Macaca mulatta: one gene and its partners. The protein of the gene in region 2 purifies or fractionates together with the protein of the main gene of each other region. This does not show direct contact. Links are inferred from orthologs where the notes say so. Each region holds a gene or a part of one and is shown on either strand. Other genes may lie near its edges.

The links. Proteins that work in one complex are often made in the same cells at the same time.
Region 1: the proteins of CPSF3 (region 2) and UBE3D purify together in Homo sapiens (affinity purification with mass spectrometry; 4 studies listed by BioGRID and IntAct, counting the BioPlex papers as one, with this or other methods). This does not show direct contact. The link is inferred for Macaca mulatta from reciprocal best matches to the Homo sapiens genes CPSF3 and UBE3D.
Region 3: the proteins of CPSF3 (region 2) and CSTF2 purify together in Homo sapiens (affinity purification with mass spectrometry; 3 studies listed by BioGRID and IntAct, with this or other methods). This does not show direct contact. The link is inferred for Macaca mulatta from reciprocal best matches to the Homo sapiens genes CPSF3 and CSTF2.
Region 4: the proteins of CPSF3 (region 2) and SYMPK fractionate together in Homo sapiens (co-fractionation; 6 studies listed by BioGRID and IntAct, with this or other methods). This does not show direct contact. The link is inferred for Macaca mulatta from reciprocal best matches to the Homo sapiens genes CPSF3 and SYMPK.

Annotation. Positions count from the first base shown.
Region 1 is NC_133409.1:102,792,413-102,795,912, reverse strand, and holds part of UBE3D (E3 ubiquitin-protein ligase E3D), read right to left. Parts: intron 3,115-3,500; coding exon 2,883-3,114; intron 1-2,882. UniProt on the Homo sapiens protein: E3 ubiquitin-protein ligase which accepts ubiquitin from specific E2 ubiquitin-conjugating enzymes, and transfers it to substrates, generally promoting their degradation by the proteasome.
Region 2 is NC_133418.1:115,401,212-115,405,431, forward strand, and holds the start of CPSF3 (cleavage and polyadenylation specificity factor subunit 3), read right to left. Parts: upstream 2,801-4,220; 5' UTR 2,669-2,800; coding exon 2,619-2,668; intron 1-2,618. UniProt on the Homo sapiens protein: Component of the cleavage and polyadenylation specificity factor (CPSF) complex that plays a key role in pre-mRNA 3'-end formation, recognizing the AAUAAA signal sequence and interacting with poly(A) polymerase and other factors to bring about cleavage and poly(A) addition.
Region 3 is NC_133426.1:107,706,910-107,710,409, reverse strand, and holds part of CSTF2 (cleavage stimulation factor subunit 2), read right to left. Parts: coding exon 3,455-3,500; intron 2,998-3,454; coding exon 2,878-2,997; intron 2,764-2,877; coding exon 2,626-2,763; intron 235-2,625; coding exon 111-234; intron 1-110. UniProt on the Homo sapiens protein: One of the multiple factors required for polyadenylation and 3'-end cleavage of mammalian pre-mRNAs. This subunit is directly involved in the binding to pre-mRNAs.
Region 4 is NC_133424.1:58,376,585-58,380,084, forward strand, and holds part of SYMPK (symplekin), read right to left. Parts: coding exon 3,462-3,500; intron 3,264-3,461; coding exon 3,150-3,263; intron 2,185-3,149; coding exon 2,037-2,184; intron 1,139-2,036; coding exon 978-1,138; intron 1-977. UniProt on the Homo sapiens protein: Scaffold protein that functions as a component of a multimolecular complex involved in histone mRNA 3'-end processing. Specific component of the tight junction (TJ) plaque, but might not be an exclusively junctional component. May have a house-keeping rule.

The DNA of each region.
Region 1 (3,500 bases), on a different chromosome or scaffold from region 2:
TTCAGGAAAAAAAAGAGCAGATGAAGCATACTAGTATGATGAATCCATATTGAAATTCACAATACTATTCTTTTTATAATTGTGAATACTTACAGAGTTTGACAACACATTTTTCTAAGAAAACAAAAAAGACCCACTTATGGATTTAACAAAACAAATTACCAAAATCAACTAATTATTACTAAGTACTCCAAGAAAGAAAAAAAGATAAAGATGTTAGTCATCCTTGCTAGCAGTAATATTAATGTAATCAAAGATCAATTTTATTTGTTCTTTAAAAAATACAGTGAAGTCTTGAATAATATTTTGAATCTTATAAAAGGAAGAAATGCCATCTTTATCATCCCATTATTATAAGATACAATTTTTTTTTTTTTTTTTGAGATGGTGTCTCGCTCTGTCACCAGGCTGGAGTGCAGCGGTGTAATCTTGGCTCACTGCAACCTCTGCCTCTTGGGTTCAAGAGATTCTCCTGCCTCAGCCTCCTGAGTAGCTGGGACTACAGGCCCCCGCCACCATGCCTCGCTAATTTTTTTGTAGTTTAGTAGAGATGGGGTTTTACCATGTTGGCCAGGATGGTCTCGATCTCCTGACCTTGTGATCCACCCGCCTCAGCCTCGCAAAGTGCTGGGATTACAGGCATAAGCTACCATGCCCGGCCCAAGATGCGAAATTTGTATTATGTGGGTGGGCACAAAATAGAACAAGAGAGATGATAAATGAATACATGAATAGGGAAATCTCCAGCAGGTATCTTTTTTAAAAAAAGTAGATACTGCTGCAATGACAAAGGCTCAAATAAAGTACTATAAACTCTAAAAAGCTATGGAAGAAAAGAAACAGTGTTGGGCTTCACGTTTGTTTGTGCTGTTTTTAAAAGCAGATCTTTTTAATTAAACATATAACACATAAATTTTGTTTAAAGAGAATCTCTGTTTGTAATGCATTTTTCTTCACCTATCCTTGAAGGAAATAATAAGGTAAGTTGTGTAATGAAGCAGCCTAACAGTGTGGGAACTCTACAGAGCAAACCTCAAAGACAGACATTGTTGTGGACTAATTAAGTCAATATATCTGACACAGGGCAGGACTGCTCAGAGAGGTGGATTAGCCTTGTGTCCTCCCTTTTAGTTTCCCTTTGTGTTGTCTCAATTTCTAAGGACCCTTGATATTGTCTCACCAAAAAAATGTTTCCCAAGAGATACCATTAGGATGCTTTGTTACTATGTGGCATTTCAAAACCCTGCTAGATGGCTAGACTGGGTGATAGGAGAAATAGGTTTTCAATAGCACAGAACAGCCTTGTTCCCACAGGAGCCTTGAGAGCACTGTTTACCCAGTCCCTCCAAATTTACGCTTCTATTTTGGTCACAGGCACACTCTTTGGACTGCTACAATATACAATTAAAGAGGGACTTTCATCTAGGCTAACTTGAAGAAAATCTTTTCAACAGCAGCTTGTCATGATAGTACAGAATTTCCCACAGTCTCCTTGATACTAAAACTGTAATGTCTAAAAATACGATGGGTCTTTCTTTAATGGATAAGATAGCTGTTTACTATGAAGAGAAATTCTTGTAAATTGCATCACATAACTGATAAAGATGTAAATGTGAAGAATATATTTCAGCACAGAGTGCTGAGTTTATTTAAAAAGGGAAACATGGCTTCTCTCATTTAATCTTTACTACTTTTCTGCTCACAACTTCCAAATATTTTTAAAATGTATAGCTTAATCATAAAGACGAAATTTAAAACACATAAAGTATTAGTATATATTTAGATTAAAATACAAATTTAATTAATCATATTAAATATAACATAAATGTATATTAACTTACTATTTACCTTTTAAAATATAAAATGTAAAGTACCACATTTCACCAAAGTGAACCATATTTAGATTAAGGGATTTCTGTTTACAGTGTAAGATGAGGCACTTAAATAATTTTCTTTGACAACAACTTAACGTCCACATTCGACGAATTTCCTTCGTCTCCCTCAGAATAGTTCTATAAACTAATTTACAACCTAAGAGCTGCCCATCTACTGCATATTTCCTGCAGTCGCTCAGTTTCAGTTCTGATTACAAAAATTAAATGAGTTCTGAATGAAATTTAAAATACAATGTTTTCGTTCCCACCAATAATCAGATGTTAAAATGCTTCTCTGGCAATGATTTTCTTTACTTTTTAAATAACATCTGTACTGACTGGCCATCAGTGGAATGATTTCTCACAGGGCTAAGCCAATGACATTGATTTTCTTTTAAAATAAAGTAAAACGTGTTCTCTGCAGTGAGAGAAAATTGCCTTCTTCCCAAAGTAACCTACGCAGCAAGAACTACCTGACCTCACACTGTCAAGCACCAATTCAGACCCTGCAACACAAGCTTTATCTCCATTTCTGGGCTCCTCCATTCCTCTTTTTACTTGATGACATCTGCATTTATGACTTCAGCAGAAGTCTAGACTGTGGGCAGAAATAGTAAAATACCTCAGCCTAATAGTATAGTAGATATCCTGGAGCAACAGAACATTTTAACTTAAATCAGACTACTTAGGATAAAATGCACACAAATTATGCAATATTGTCCTAAGAACAAGAAAGGAGGGCATTTTGTTTGTAAAATGGTAGCACTCCCAATTCTGTGACTGCAGAGGTCTTCCTCTCCTTATTCTTCCAGGTCCCTGTGGCTGTTTTAGTTTAAAGCCATATGCTCTTCCTGTTTTGATAAAGCAGAGATAGTGATGACAGTTGAAAATAATGAATTTTGGCCTTTACAGCAGTCCATGTAACAAGGCCTTAATTAGGAAAAGATTGAAGAAACCAGTATCTAAGACAACCTCTAAATTAGCATTTAGTTTGAAATGATATTTTACCAATTTACAATGGTTGTCAGAAGAAACACAGCACATCTCCACTGGGGAAAGTTCAGGTCTTGGCTGCCACAAACTGGTTCTTAAATTCACCAAGAAGAAAGAGTCTCCAATAAAACAGTCATTCTCTTGCGGATGAAGTGGTTTATTAGCAAAGGGGTCAGGATGACAACACCATTCTCCAACTAGAGCTTCCCAGTTCTCACTCGGCAGTGGGAGCACCCTGAGGAGCTTCCTAGTGGAAAGAGGAAAAATCATTTTTAACAGAACAAAATGGAACTAACATTCTCTTAATTAAATGAGCATAAAAGATGAAAGAAACTCATTAACCACAAGGCTTGCAATGCTAATTTTTCCTCAATTATAAAAGTAATATATACTCACTATAACTAATTTTGAAAATGCAAGGAGGTATAAACAAGGAAAAATCATCCTTTTATCTCACTACCCAGATATAAGTAACTAAACATGACAGTGTATTTCTTTGCCATCCGTTCAAAAGATATATCTGTACATATCACAAAGTTTGAGAATGGTGACTAAACATACTATATCTTGCTTTTGTTGTTTTATTTAGATGAATCCTAATTAGTCCACAATATTCTATTCCATAATCAAAAC
Region 2 (4,220 bases):
AAACTGGTTTCCACCACATGCCCCCTACTTGCTCTGCTTTCTTCCTGAAATGCTTTGTCTTCAGATATTGATGTGGTTGGCTCCTTTGTATCATTTGGGTCTCAGTTCCAATGTCACCTTCTCAGATGCTTTCTCTTGACTACCTCCTCTAATTTGCCCTTCACAGCAAGCCGCAACCCAGCATCATGTTATCTTAATACTTACAACTACATGAAGTTATTGTATCCACTTATGTCTTGCTTCAGGCTACTAAATGAAAGCTTCCTAAGAACAGAGGCATTGTCCACCTTATTCACTGCTGTATTGCTACGTAAATCACAAAAAATACTTATTGAATGAATAAAACTCCTCAATTTTGAACCTTGGAAAGATTACGCTAAATGAAAGATGCCAGAGACAAAAGACTATGTATTGTATGATCGCACTTCTGTGAAATGTCCACAACAGGCAAATCTGTAGAGAAGTAGATTAGTGGTTGCTAAGGTCTGGAGAGGTAGTGGGGATTGTCCATGACTGCTAATGAATACAAGGTATCTTTTGGGAGTGATGAAAATGTTCTGGAATGAGAGAGGGGTGATGGTTGTATAACTCTATGTTAAGAACGACTGAGAGTTGTATGGTATATAAATTGTGAGTTGTATAGTATGTAAACTGTATCTCAATAAAGCTGTTATGAAACAACCGAACTCCCAAATTTACTCCAGAGTTGCCCCACTTCCTACACTCCTAGAGTGAAGAACACTACCCTTTCCCAACTGCCAAACTTAGGAATCCGAGTCATCATAACATCCTCTCTGCCCTGCCTTCCCTCCCCACAACCACCCTTCCAGATACAGCTGATCAGCCACAAAATCCTGAAGATCTCATTTGCGTACTCTCTCACACTCATGTCACTCACTACAGGCTCTGATCACCTAGACTTGGAATCTTTCAATGATATCTTACTGAACCTGCTCTACTCAATCCATCCTTTTATTCAGCTGCTACACTGCTGCCAGGAGTGATTTTCCTAAAACATAATTCCTCACAATATCCATGCTTGCTTAACAGCCTTTGCTGGCTCCCTGTAATTGACTATCTGATAAAGGTCCAAACTCCTATGTATATGAGGTGCTTCCTAAACTGGACCTCAACAGCCTGTCGCTTCATCTGCTAACTCAACTCTTTAGCTACAGCCATGAGGAATCTGGCCACAAGTTGTGGCCACTCTCACTTTCACATGTGCCACTTCCACTGCCTAGAACACCCTGGGCCCCCCAGTCTTCAACTCCTACTCATTCTTGAGGACTCAGCTCAAGCATCACATTTTTCAGGATGCATGAGGTATCCTTTTTTCCTCAATCTGTCAGAAATCCCTTTTCCATACTTTCACAGTGCTCAGTGCAATGCCTACCTGCCCTCTTAGATTAGCTATTATTTACAAAGCACCTACCGCGATCTTTACTCTTCAAGTTTTATCTCATTTCCACATGAGAAAACAGGTTTAGTGAGGTTGTTGTCCTACTAAGTGGTCAAGTAGATAACGTACTTCAGGTCTGACTTCAAAGTAATGGTCTCCTATTATACCAAAGTATCTCTCCAATACTTCCCACTGTGCACTGTAATTCTCTCCATAAGGGCGAGAGCAATTAACTGGGCCCTCCTTTGCATCTGTATCCCCACGTGTGGTGCTTGACACTTGACACTTGCTAAAGAATTGAGTTAGCAGATCAAGCGACAGTGTTTGCTCATCACAGGAAGACATGACAGGTGTGATCTAAGCAGAAGGAAACGGACTATGTCCCAAGCAGGTGCTCAATGAAGCCTTACTGAACGAATGTGTAAAGGAGATACTTTCTACCTTTTGGAAAGCGTATATTCATGTTGTGCCAACTAACATCTAACAATAAACATGTTGTGGGTTCGAAATGCTCATCTGTAGGAATCCAAGTTCCTACATCTCCCCTTCAGCATCTTGCATCTCCCCTTCAGCAGCATTCCCGACTGATGAGGACCATGTCCACTGAAAGGCCACTCTCCTTACGGACAGTCGAGGGCTGAGTTTTTGTCCCTAACACCTCTGCACTTTCTCCTCTCCAGCTTTACACCTTCCTTATTCTACTAGGACCTGAGCTGAGAAGATCGAAACTCACGGCACGTCCCTAATATTTTCTAACTTCTGGCACATGTGAAGCCCTGGTGTTAGGAAACAGACTTAATTCTTCCCTGCACCGCTGTAGCCTCATTCAGGTCCTCCTCTCATCCTGTCGATCATAAGCGTCACCGGCTCTCTCACGGCTTGCCCTGACGCGCAGAGATCCGTGCTTGTGCTAAGTGAAAACGCTTTTTAGCGTGTACGAAAAGCGGCCGGTGGCCCCGGAAAACTTTTTTTTTTCCGACTCCAACATACCCTCCCCTGAAACTGATAAAGAAGCAAAATCCCGTTCACTCTAGCAGGCCCCTTCCAATCAGTGGTCCTCCAACCCCTCGAGCCTGAGAAGCCTGGCCCGCAAGCGCGGACCAAAGGCAGGCTGCCGGGGACGGTGGGAGCGCGGGCGACGGAGGAGGCCAAAGTCTCCGGTTATCCCTCGCACCCCTCACAGCCCTGGGCCTCATTCCCTCTCTCGCTGGTCTCTTACAGAGGTCGGATCAGCAGCTGGTCGCTCTCCTCAGCAGGAATCGCAGACATCCCGAAAGTGTGAGGGCGAAGCGGGGGCGGGGAACAGGTCGCCGGGGTCTTCCTAAATTGGAAGGTAAATAAAGAAAGAAGAACCCCATCCACCAAGAGCACAACTTCCGTCACTCCGGAGCCCGCGGCACTAGACTCCTCCCCTCGACTTCCGGTTGGGGGACGTCCCTTGCGAAGCTTCCCACCACTCGGGGTCCTGGAACCGGGGGCGGGACGTCAGGACTGCGCCTGCGCTTAGTCTCGGAGGCGGGGCCCGGCGGACGTGGGCAGGAGCGTTGGAAAAGCCGGCGCTGGAGCGGGAACGGGAGTAGCTGCCTGGGTGCCGGAGGCCGCGGCGCTCCCACGCGGACCCCGAAGCCCGCAACCGGAGGATGGGCCCGCGGCTGCGAGGTGAGCGCCCAGCCCTCGTCCCACTCGGGGCCGAGCTCGCGGAGGCCTGACGGGAACACGGCCCCGAGAGCGGCGCGGACGGCCGGGAAGGATGGGTGGGGCCGCAGGGAGGGCGGGGGAGGGATGCCTGGGCTCCGGCTGCGTTCTCTGCGGGTCCGCGCTCCCGGGGCGCGGGTGGAGGCGCCTGGAACCGCGGGTCGGGCGTGGGCGTTGTGGACTGTAGCTTCCGGAGCCGCTGCCAGCCGGGAGAGGAGGCAAGGCGGGCAGCGCGGGCCGTTTCCCTGCCTCTTCCTCTGCCTCGTTTCGGCCGCCTCCCGCCTCTCAGGGTCGGGGTTGTCTGTCCCCTTCGCTGTCACATCCTCCGCACCCAGTAGGTGGAAGGTGCTCCATCACGGTGACAGACAGGTGCCAAGCAGGCTGGCGTCTGGGAGGAACTTTGGAGCCGGCTCTCCCTAGGCCCTGAGCTTGGCCCCATCCGTCCTTACCCTGGTGACCCTGGGCAGGTCACTGACTCTTCGGGCGCTTTGGCATCCTCGTTTGAAAGGGGCTGTTATCCTTCAGGCTTGCTGGTCAGTGAGGGTGAGAGGGATCTGTGCACCTAGCACCGTGCATGGCACGTGGTAGGCGTTTGGTACTTGGGAATTGCTGTTGGGGTGTCACAGACACCCCAGAAAGTTCTCGGCTTCAGTAAGCGCGTCCCCTGCCAGGCGCCCTGGCTGTGCAGAGAGGAGTCCCTGAGCTCCGCCTTTGACCAGCGTGCAGCTGGGAGAGTGAGATCAGAGACCACAGCAGATCGTGGCGCTGTGATCAGGGGTACACTGAAGCTGTGGGTCCCTGAGCCCAGCCTTGAGATCCCAGGAAGGCCTGCAGCCTGAAAGGGACCTTGAAAGGTAAGAGGTAGCCAAGTGCCTGAAAGGTGAAGGGTGTCCCGGGCGCTGCAAAGCAGGGGCGACTGGAGCATCGCCCTGAGAACCACGAGCAGCTTTGCCTTGCTGAGATCAATGAACTGTGCCCGGGTTGTGGAGGATGGAAGTGGAAAGGTGGTTAGGAGCTGCGTCCTGGAGGACCTGGCGTGTCCTGCTGAAGAACGTTGACTTTGATCTCTGACTTTGGAGAACCAGTGAAAGATTTTCAGCAGGCTAGTGGCATTAGATTTATGTTT
Region 3 (3,500 bases), on a different chromosome or scaffold from region 2:
GTGGATTAATTTTACCTAAGGATCCCATTATCATATTTGGCTGCACTGCAGCAGTGCCTATGACAAAACTTTAGCGAGTACTGAAATGGCGAAGACTAAATGAAACTTACCTCCAGGAGCTAAGGAACCAGGGCCAGGTCCTGTGACAGCGGTTGGTATTTGCCCTGGTGCTGGAACTCCACCCTGCATAGAAGCTTGCATCAGAGGAGGTGCGCCATTGACATGCATTCCACCCTGACCAAGAAAAAAAAAAAACAGAGTATGTACATGCCTTGGTGGAGACTCAATACTAAGTCTATGACCTTAAAAGTCCTCTTCAAATGAACAGCCCCAAATATACTACCAAACATCCTTTTTGTATGGCATGTCTTATGCAGCATTAGATTTGTCACACACTTTAAACTCCACAGAAGCAAGTTGCAATACACATCATGAGCCTGGTTATATGGAACACGGTTAAGATGGAACATATTCTCAATGTAGAGATTGACAAGTCTTATCTGTGTGGCAAGGCAGCACATAGCACCTATTGTTAACTTCATGACTGGGGCCTGGCAATAAGAGTTTAAAAAAAAAAAAAAAAAAAGCCCTAAACCCAAGAAAGAAAAAAGGAGACTGGGCCTCTTTTTAAAAAAACACAACAACTGCTAGTAGTCCACATTTTTAAAATTAAATGTTCTTCTTTTTTTTTTTTAAATTTAAATTTAACCAATCTTTTCTCACTCCTGTCCTTAGACATAATTCTGGTTCTGGGGGAATGTGAATTTTTTTTTTTTAATGCTACATTAAAACTCTTTGAGAAAAAGAGAATGTCAACTTTTCATCTGTGCATTCCCCAAAAAACTGCGTAGTCCCTTGAAAAAGAAACAGCTCAATAAATAAAGAATAAAAGCCAAGTTATATAAAAAAAAATTACATACACGTTTAAGGAACACAAAACTCTACAACAGAAAAGGAAGAGCTGTATAGGAAGGTAGTTAAGAGAAAACTGGGTATGAGGTCAGATAAAACCAGGTTCAGAACTATATCTGCCACTTACAATTGTGTCCATTTTTGGACTAGCTAACCTCTCTTTTCTATCTCTGAAAACATTTATTTATTTAGAGCAGGAGCTGGCAAATGATGACCCATGGGTCAAATCGGGCTCACTGCCTGGTTTTGTAAACAAACTTTTATTGGAACACAACCACACACACTTGTTCACATATTGCCTATGGCTGATTTCATACTACCATGGCAGAGTAGCTGTGGCAGATCCTGTGGCTTGCAAAGCCAAAAATATTTACTATCTGATCATTTACAGAAAAATGTTTGCTGGCTCCTGCCCTATACCTCTGCCAATCTGAGAGATGAAAAATGGTAGCTTATTGTAGTTTCTATTTACATTATCTTTTAACATTACATGTATTAATAATTTATTACATTATCTTATTTTGAGGTTGAATACATTTTTATATATTTACTTTATATTTCTACTTTTGTGAAATATTTATGTCCATTTCCCATTTTTCTACTGGGTTATTGGAAATTTTCTTACTAATTTATAGGAGGCCTTTTAAAATGTATTATGAAAAATTACAGATATACAAATCATATAGGAAATAAAATAGCCACGCAGCTTGGGAAATAAACAATAAAATACACCAATGGCCTGTATGGTCTTCCCCAATTGCATCCTGTGCTCTCTTCTCCTTAGATGACCGCTAAGACATCTTCCTAATGTTTTAAAATTTTATAGGAATCATTACATACTCAATATATTATTTTGAAACTCACTCCACATATTTTGGGGATTTATGCAGAAACATATATCCTACATTTCGGGAATGCATCCACATTCACTTAGTTTCATGTCCGTATGTTATTGTTTTGGAGTTATTTGTGTTGATATTATGTATCCTAGTTCATCTTAACTGCTGTATGGAATTATGTTTTTCAGAGTCATTCATGTTGATACGTGTAGTTCATTTAACTGTTGTACAGTATTTCACTGGATGAATGTACCACACATTTTCTCCATTCTTCCATTGATGTACATTTAGGACATTTCCAATTTTTCACTCTAAGGCAATAAACATTTCTGTGCATGACTATGGGCTCTTTATTAGTCTGTTGTCCATCACATGTGTGGCAAATACTTTTTCTCAATTTGTCATGTCTTTGATACTTATTTTTTTCTTTATATAGAAATTTTTTAGTTTTCAAATGTATCAATTTTTTATGGCTTTAGGGTTTTGTGTCATGCTTTGAAAGCAAGCTTTACTTTTTTCATTGGTAAGAATGGAGATAATAAGAGTGCCAACCTCATACAATTGCTTTGAGGATTAAATGAGATAATGCATATGGAATAACAAAGTGCCAACCACAGTGCCAGGCATGCACATACACACAAAGTTAGCTTATAAGAAAAGGGCATACAGGAAGGATCTCTTTGTTTTACAAACTTGGAATCGAATCTATATTCATTCAGATGTCATGTGCTCTGCAACCTGGAAATTGCTTTTATGCCTGGAAATTGAAATTATCATCTCTGGTTCCTGACCATTCTTCTTTCAATATATTCTCCTAAAAAGAAAATGACATTCTAAGACAGATAAAAAAAAATGTTAAGGGATAAAGCCCTACCAAAGACTGGGCCTGAGGGGCCTGAGGATTCTGCTGGTTCATTGACACATTGGATCCTGACCCAGGCCCAGCACCATGGACTGGCTGAGGGTTGCCTGCAATCAGCGTTGGGATATTTGTCTGGCGATGCAGAATTTTCTAAAAAGTGAAAAGACAAACCTATAAGCTGTCTGTTTAACAAAGCAATCAGGTAGTTCCTATCCCACTCAAGGTTTACCCGACCATTTCCATAAAAGAACCAGAAGCACTCACCAGGGCAATTTCCGGATCCACAATTCTCATCACTACCTGTGCTTGCAGCAAAGCATAAGCCAGTTGAGGGTTCTGAAGCAACATGTTCCGTGCCTCCTGGGGACTATTCTGGACACAGAGCTGAGAAGATAAGCAGATTCAGGTTTAATACTTATGACTTAGAAACTGATAGTGATTTAGAGTCATTCCCCTCTGAGAAATGTAATATTCAAGAGGCTCTTTATCATTAGTTTTTGCATGGCACAAAAAAACCTTGGTCATGGCAGGCAAGAGAAGAAAGAGGCATTTCAAATACTGTGATACTATCATTTAGGAAAAAAGCCAAATTTTAATATCTACATCTGACATCTATGGGCCACAAAAATCCAGCTGGATTGTTTGGATAGCTGTGTTTGTGTACAAAAATAGAAAGCTCTTTGTACAAAATGTAAAATATACTGTGTACATACAGAATATTGAAGGTGCAAGAAATGGTGGTCTACAGACAATTTCTATTTGAGCTCAGGGAACTGATTCAATTAACTCCTTGAAAACCTGATGTGGTTTGCTTTATTCATAACCTAATGCCTCCTCCCACCTTCATTTGTTTCATCAGCTCAAACATCTGCTCTGGTGGAAGGCTG
Region 4 (3,500 bases), on a different chromosome or scaffold from region 2:
CCACCCGCTTCGTGACTTGGTTTCTCATGCGCGGCTGGCTTGGCTGTGAGCCCAGACCAGGCTCCACCTGCTGCTGCTTCCTGAGCCTGCCCCATGGTGAACGCCAAACACAGGAGCTGGGGCCAGGCTCCACCTTCGCCCAGGAACGTTTACGCTCCTGACTAAAACCGAATGTCTCTGCCCTCGGGAAGCTCACAGCCCCACAGGATCACTTTTCTGCAAAGTGAGATCACTTTTCCACAGTTGGCTCACCTTGGGAATGGGGCTAAAAATGTTTCCTCCTGACTACAAGCCTGTTATCCCCATTTTCCAGGTAAGGGCCCCACTGAACCCAAATGGCAGATAGGTGGGGATTAACATACAGTTCTCTCTCCCATTTATCATGAAAATGTTCGGTAATCCAAAAATGTCAGGGGCAGAAAGAAAAAAAGTGGTTTCAAACCCTGCTGCAAACTGAAGTGCAGACCTTCTCATCTCAGGTGACAGTCTGTCACTGAGCTGCTTCTCCTGTGGGCAGCCCTGTGGCTCCAGAGAGAGAGGTGGGAAGGACTTATGTCTATGTAATGACAGCTAAAGAGTCCCATTAGCAACACCGGGAAGGTCAGCTCATAAACAGTGACAGTGACACAGAGGTTTATGTGCCTGAGTTCATGGACTCCTTGCATCAGCGTGGAGGGACTGGAATGTCTTCCCTAGTTTTACTGACAGGCCCGAGGTCGCAGTGAGAAAGTGACAAGTGAACACGAACCCAGCTCTATCCAGCTCTAGGCTCCTAACTGCTGAGCCACTCTGACGTTTCCTCAGGAACTGATGAGTGACATGCGGACCGCCCGCAAGCTACACAGCCTGGGTCGACCCGGGGTGACCACCCTTTGGGCTTGGCACACTCTGAGGTGGAGCAGGTTGGGGAAGAGCTGGAGCTGGGGACACAGCCCTGCCTGTGGGTGGGCAGGGCCTGGTGGGCTCAGGGCCCTCACCGGCTGCTCGATGACCCTCAGCACCGTCCGCTTGATGTCGGCGATGGCTTCAGTGTACACGGCCGCCAGCTCGTGGATCAGCTTGTGGTTCTGAGGCAGGAGAGCCAGGTAGAGGTAGAGACACTGCTTCACTGTCTCCTCCGTCCAGGGCGCTGCCACCTCTGACAGGGCAGGAGCGGCGTCGGATTGGCCCACACTCTTCTCCAACCCCCTCGGACCCTCAGTAACTGTCCCTTCTTGGGCAGTGGAGCCAGGGAGGGCAGAGAAGGGAGCCGGGGCTGGGGAGCTAATTGTTCTAGGGCAGGGAAATGGGGTGGGACCAGGACTTCCTACCTCCAGCCTTCCCCGACTGCCAACACACAAGGCAATTAGAAGGATCTTTGAGTGCGATCCTGACCCTGTCCCTCTCCACCTCCAAGCCCAGCCACGCCCTGTAGCCTCAGAATAAACCCCCGGCTCGCTGCCTCCCAGTGGCTGCCAGGTGTTGCATGGGGTGGCCCCGGCCTGCTGCTGCCCTGCTGCCCTCCATGGTGGTCACACACCCCTTCTAACAGTCCCGAAGGCCCTGGTCTCTTTGCCTTTGCATCCGCCCTCCTTTCTGCCTGGTCCACAGCACCTGCTCAGACTCTGGGCCTCCCGAAGGCTGTGCGTCTCCTGGGAATGCTTCCTGGCACCTGGGCCAGGCCTCCCGTGCTGCCCTATCATGGCCCCAAGACTTCCCATTTAAGGGTCCATTTACTCGGGGTCTGAGTCTACCTGTCTGTAATCCTGGGGGACCCAAGGCTCTGTTGAGGGAACCTGCCTGAGATGACCCTGCCTGGTCCTTCCTGGGGCCCCACCGATGGCTGGCTCTCCTCGTCCGCCAGATCTCTCTCCCTGACCCCCTAGGCTAGGTCAGATGCCCCTACCCTGACTCCCACAGCCCCCAGGTGGCTGTCCCAGCCCTGCCCGTTCCCGTCACTGGTGTCTGGGTGGCTTCCCCACTCAGCCCCTCTGCTCGCAGCGACCAGAGCGCGGACACAGCAGCACTCAATATGCATCTGATGACCTGCGCCCAACCTGTGTCTTTGTCAGCTCCAAACAGCACAGACGGTGGGTTGGGGTGCACCAGGAGCTGCAGGTAGTTGAGGGCAAATTTCTCCACATACTCCCGCAGCTGCTCCTTCTCATACATGCGTTTGATGAACAGCAGGGCCTGGGAGCGCACCTGAGGAGGAAGATGGAGAAGGGCAGGGTCAGGGAAGAGGGAAGAGGAAGAACAGCTATTCCTGCGAGTGTGGCAACACTCATGTGAAAACAGACCCGAGCCTGAGAAGGGGCAGCCCAGCTGCTACCAGGGCCCAGAGCTGGTCCCCAGTGCAGGAGGCAGATATCCCGGCCAGGGCCGGACCCACAGCACCACCTCGCTGCCTGCCTCTCCAGCCCATCTGCCCGTCTTTCCAGCCCATCTGCCCGTCACTGCTCCTTGCCTTGCTCACCAAGCTCCAAGCAGAGGGAGATCTCAGTTCCTTAAAAGTGCCACTCCCTGCCAAGTCTCCCTAGAACGCCTACTGCCAGCTAAACACTGTTTCACTCAGATATTATCTGCCGGGACCTGTGAGGGTAGGGGCTGGTCCTGGGCACTCTGATCCCAGCAGCAGCACAGGGCCAGGGCCAGGGCCAGGGCCAGGGCCAGGGCCAGGGGTGTGCAATGAAGGTCTGCTGAATGAATAAACACGCTGCCAGGCAGGGGCTGGGGCAAAAGGCTGCAGGCAAGGATGGGTCAAGGGCGCTCTCAACCACAGCATGTGCACATTTGTCCCCTCGTCTAGAGCACACCCAGCTATTCATTTTCCAGGTCTCGGCCCACATCTCCCCTTCTTGAAGGAAGCTTTCCTTGAAACACCTCCCCTGCCCACCCCACCACCAGATGGTCGGCCCCTCCCTCCCCAGGGCTCCGCAGCTGCACACTGCTCTGCTCAGCTGCTGAGCATGCTGGGTCCTCACTGCTGGCTGAGGCCACACTGGCTCCCCTGCTGGGCAATGCCCTCAGGCCCCAGCACAGGACTGGGCTGCACGAGGAGCCTGTGCTGGCCACCACAGGCGGACTAAGAACGAGTTGGTTCCTCAGGATACAGGTGGCCTCTGCAAACTGCAGGCTGAGGGCAGCCAGGAAGTGGAGCAGGGGATCACCTTGTCCTTCTCATGGGAGCTGAGGTCGAGAAGGACATGCAGGTACTGGAACTGGCGGGACGGGCGCTTGAAGATCAGGTCTCGAAGCGTGGACATGCCCAGGTAGGTGCGACTCTGCAGCAAGAGGAAAGGGACCTGAGCTCAGCCCACCTGACTGTGCCTTTGGGCTCTCTCTCCTGACTGCCTCTGACAAAACGGCCCGGTCCCTCATGAAACCCCTTGCCACAAGGTTTAGGCTGTGTGCCCTTCAGAATCCTCAGGGGAGAGCCCTGTCCCTTGGCCCAGGCTGCAGTGACCAGGGCCTGTCCTCACCTCATCCTCGCAGTACTTGCGGATCACCTCCAGGGCACT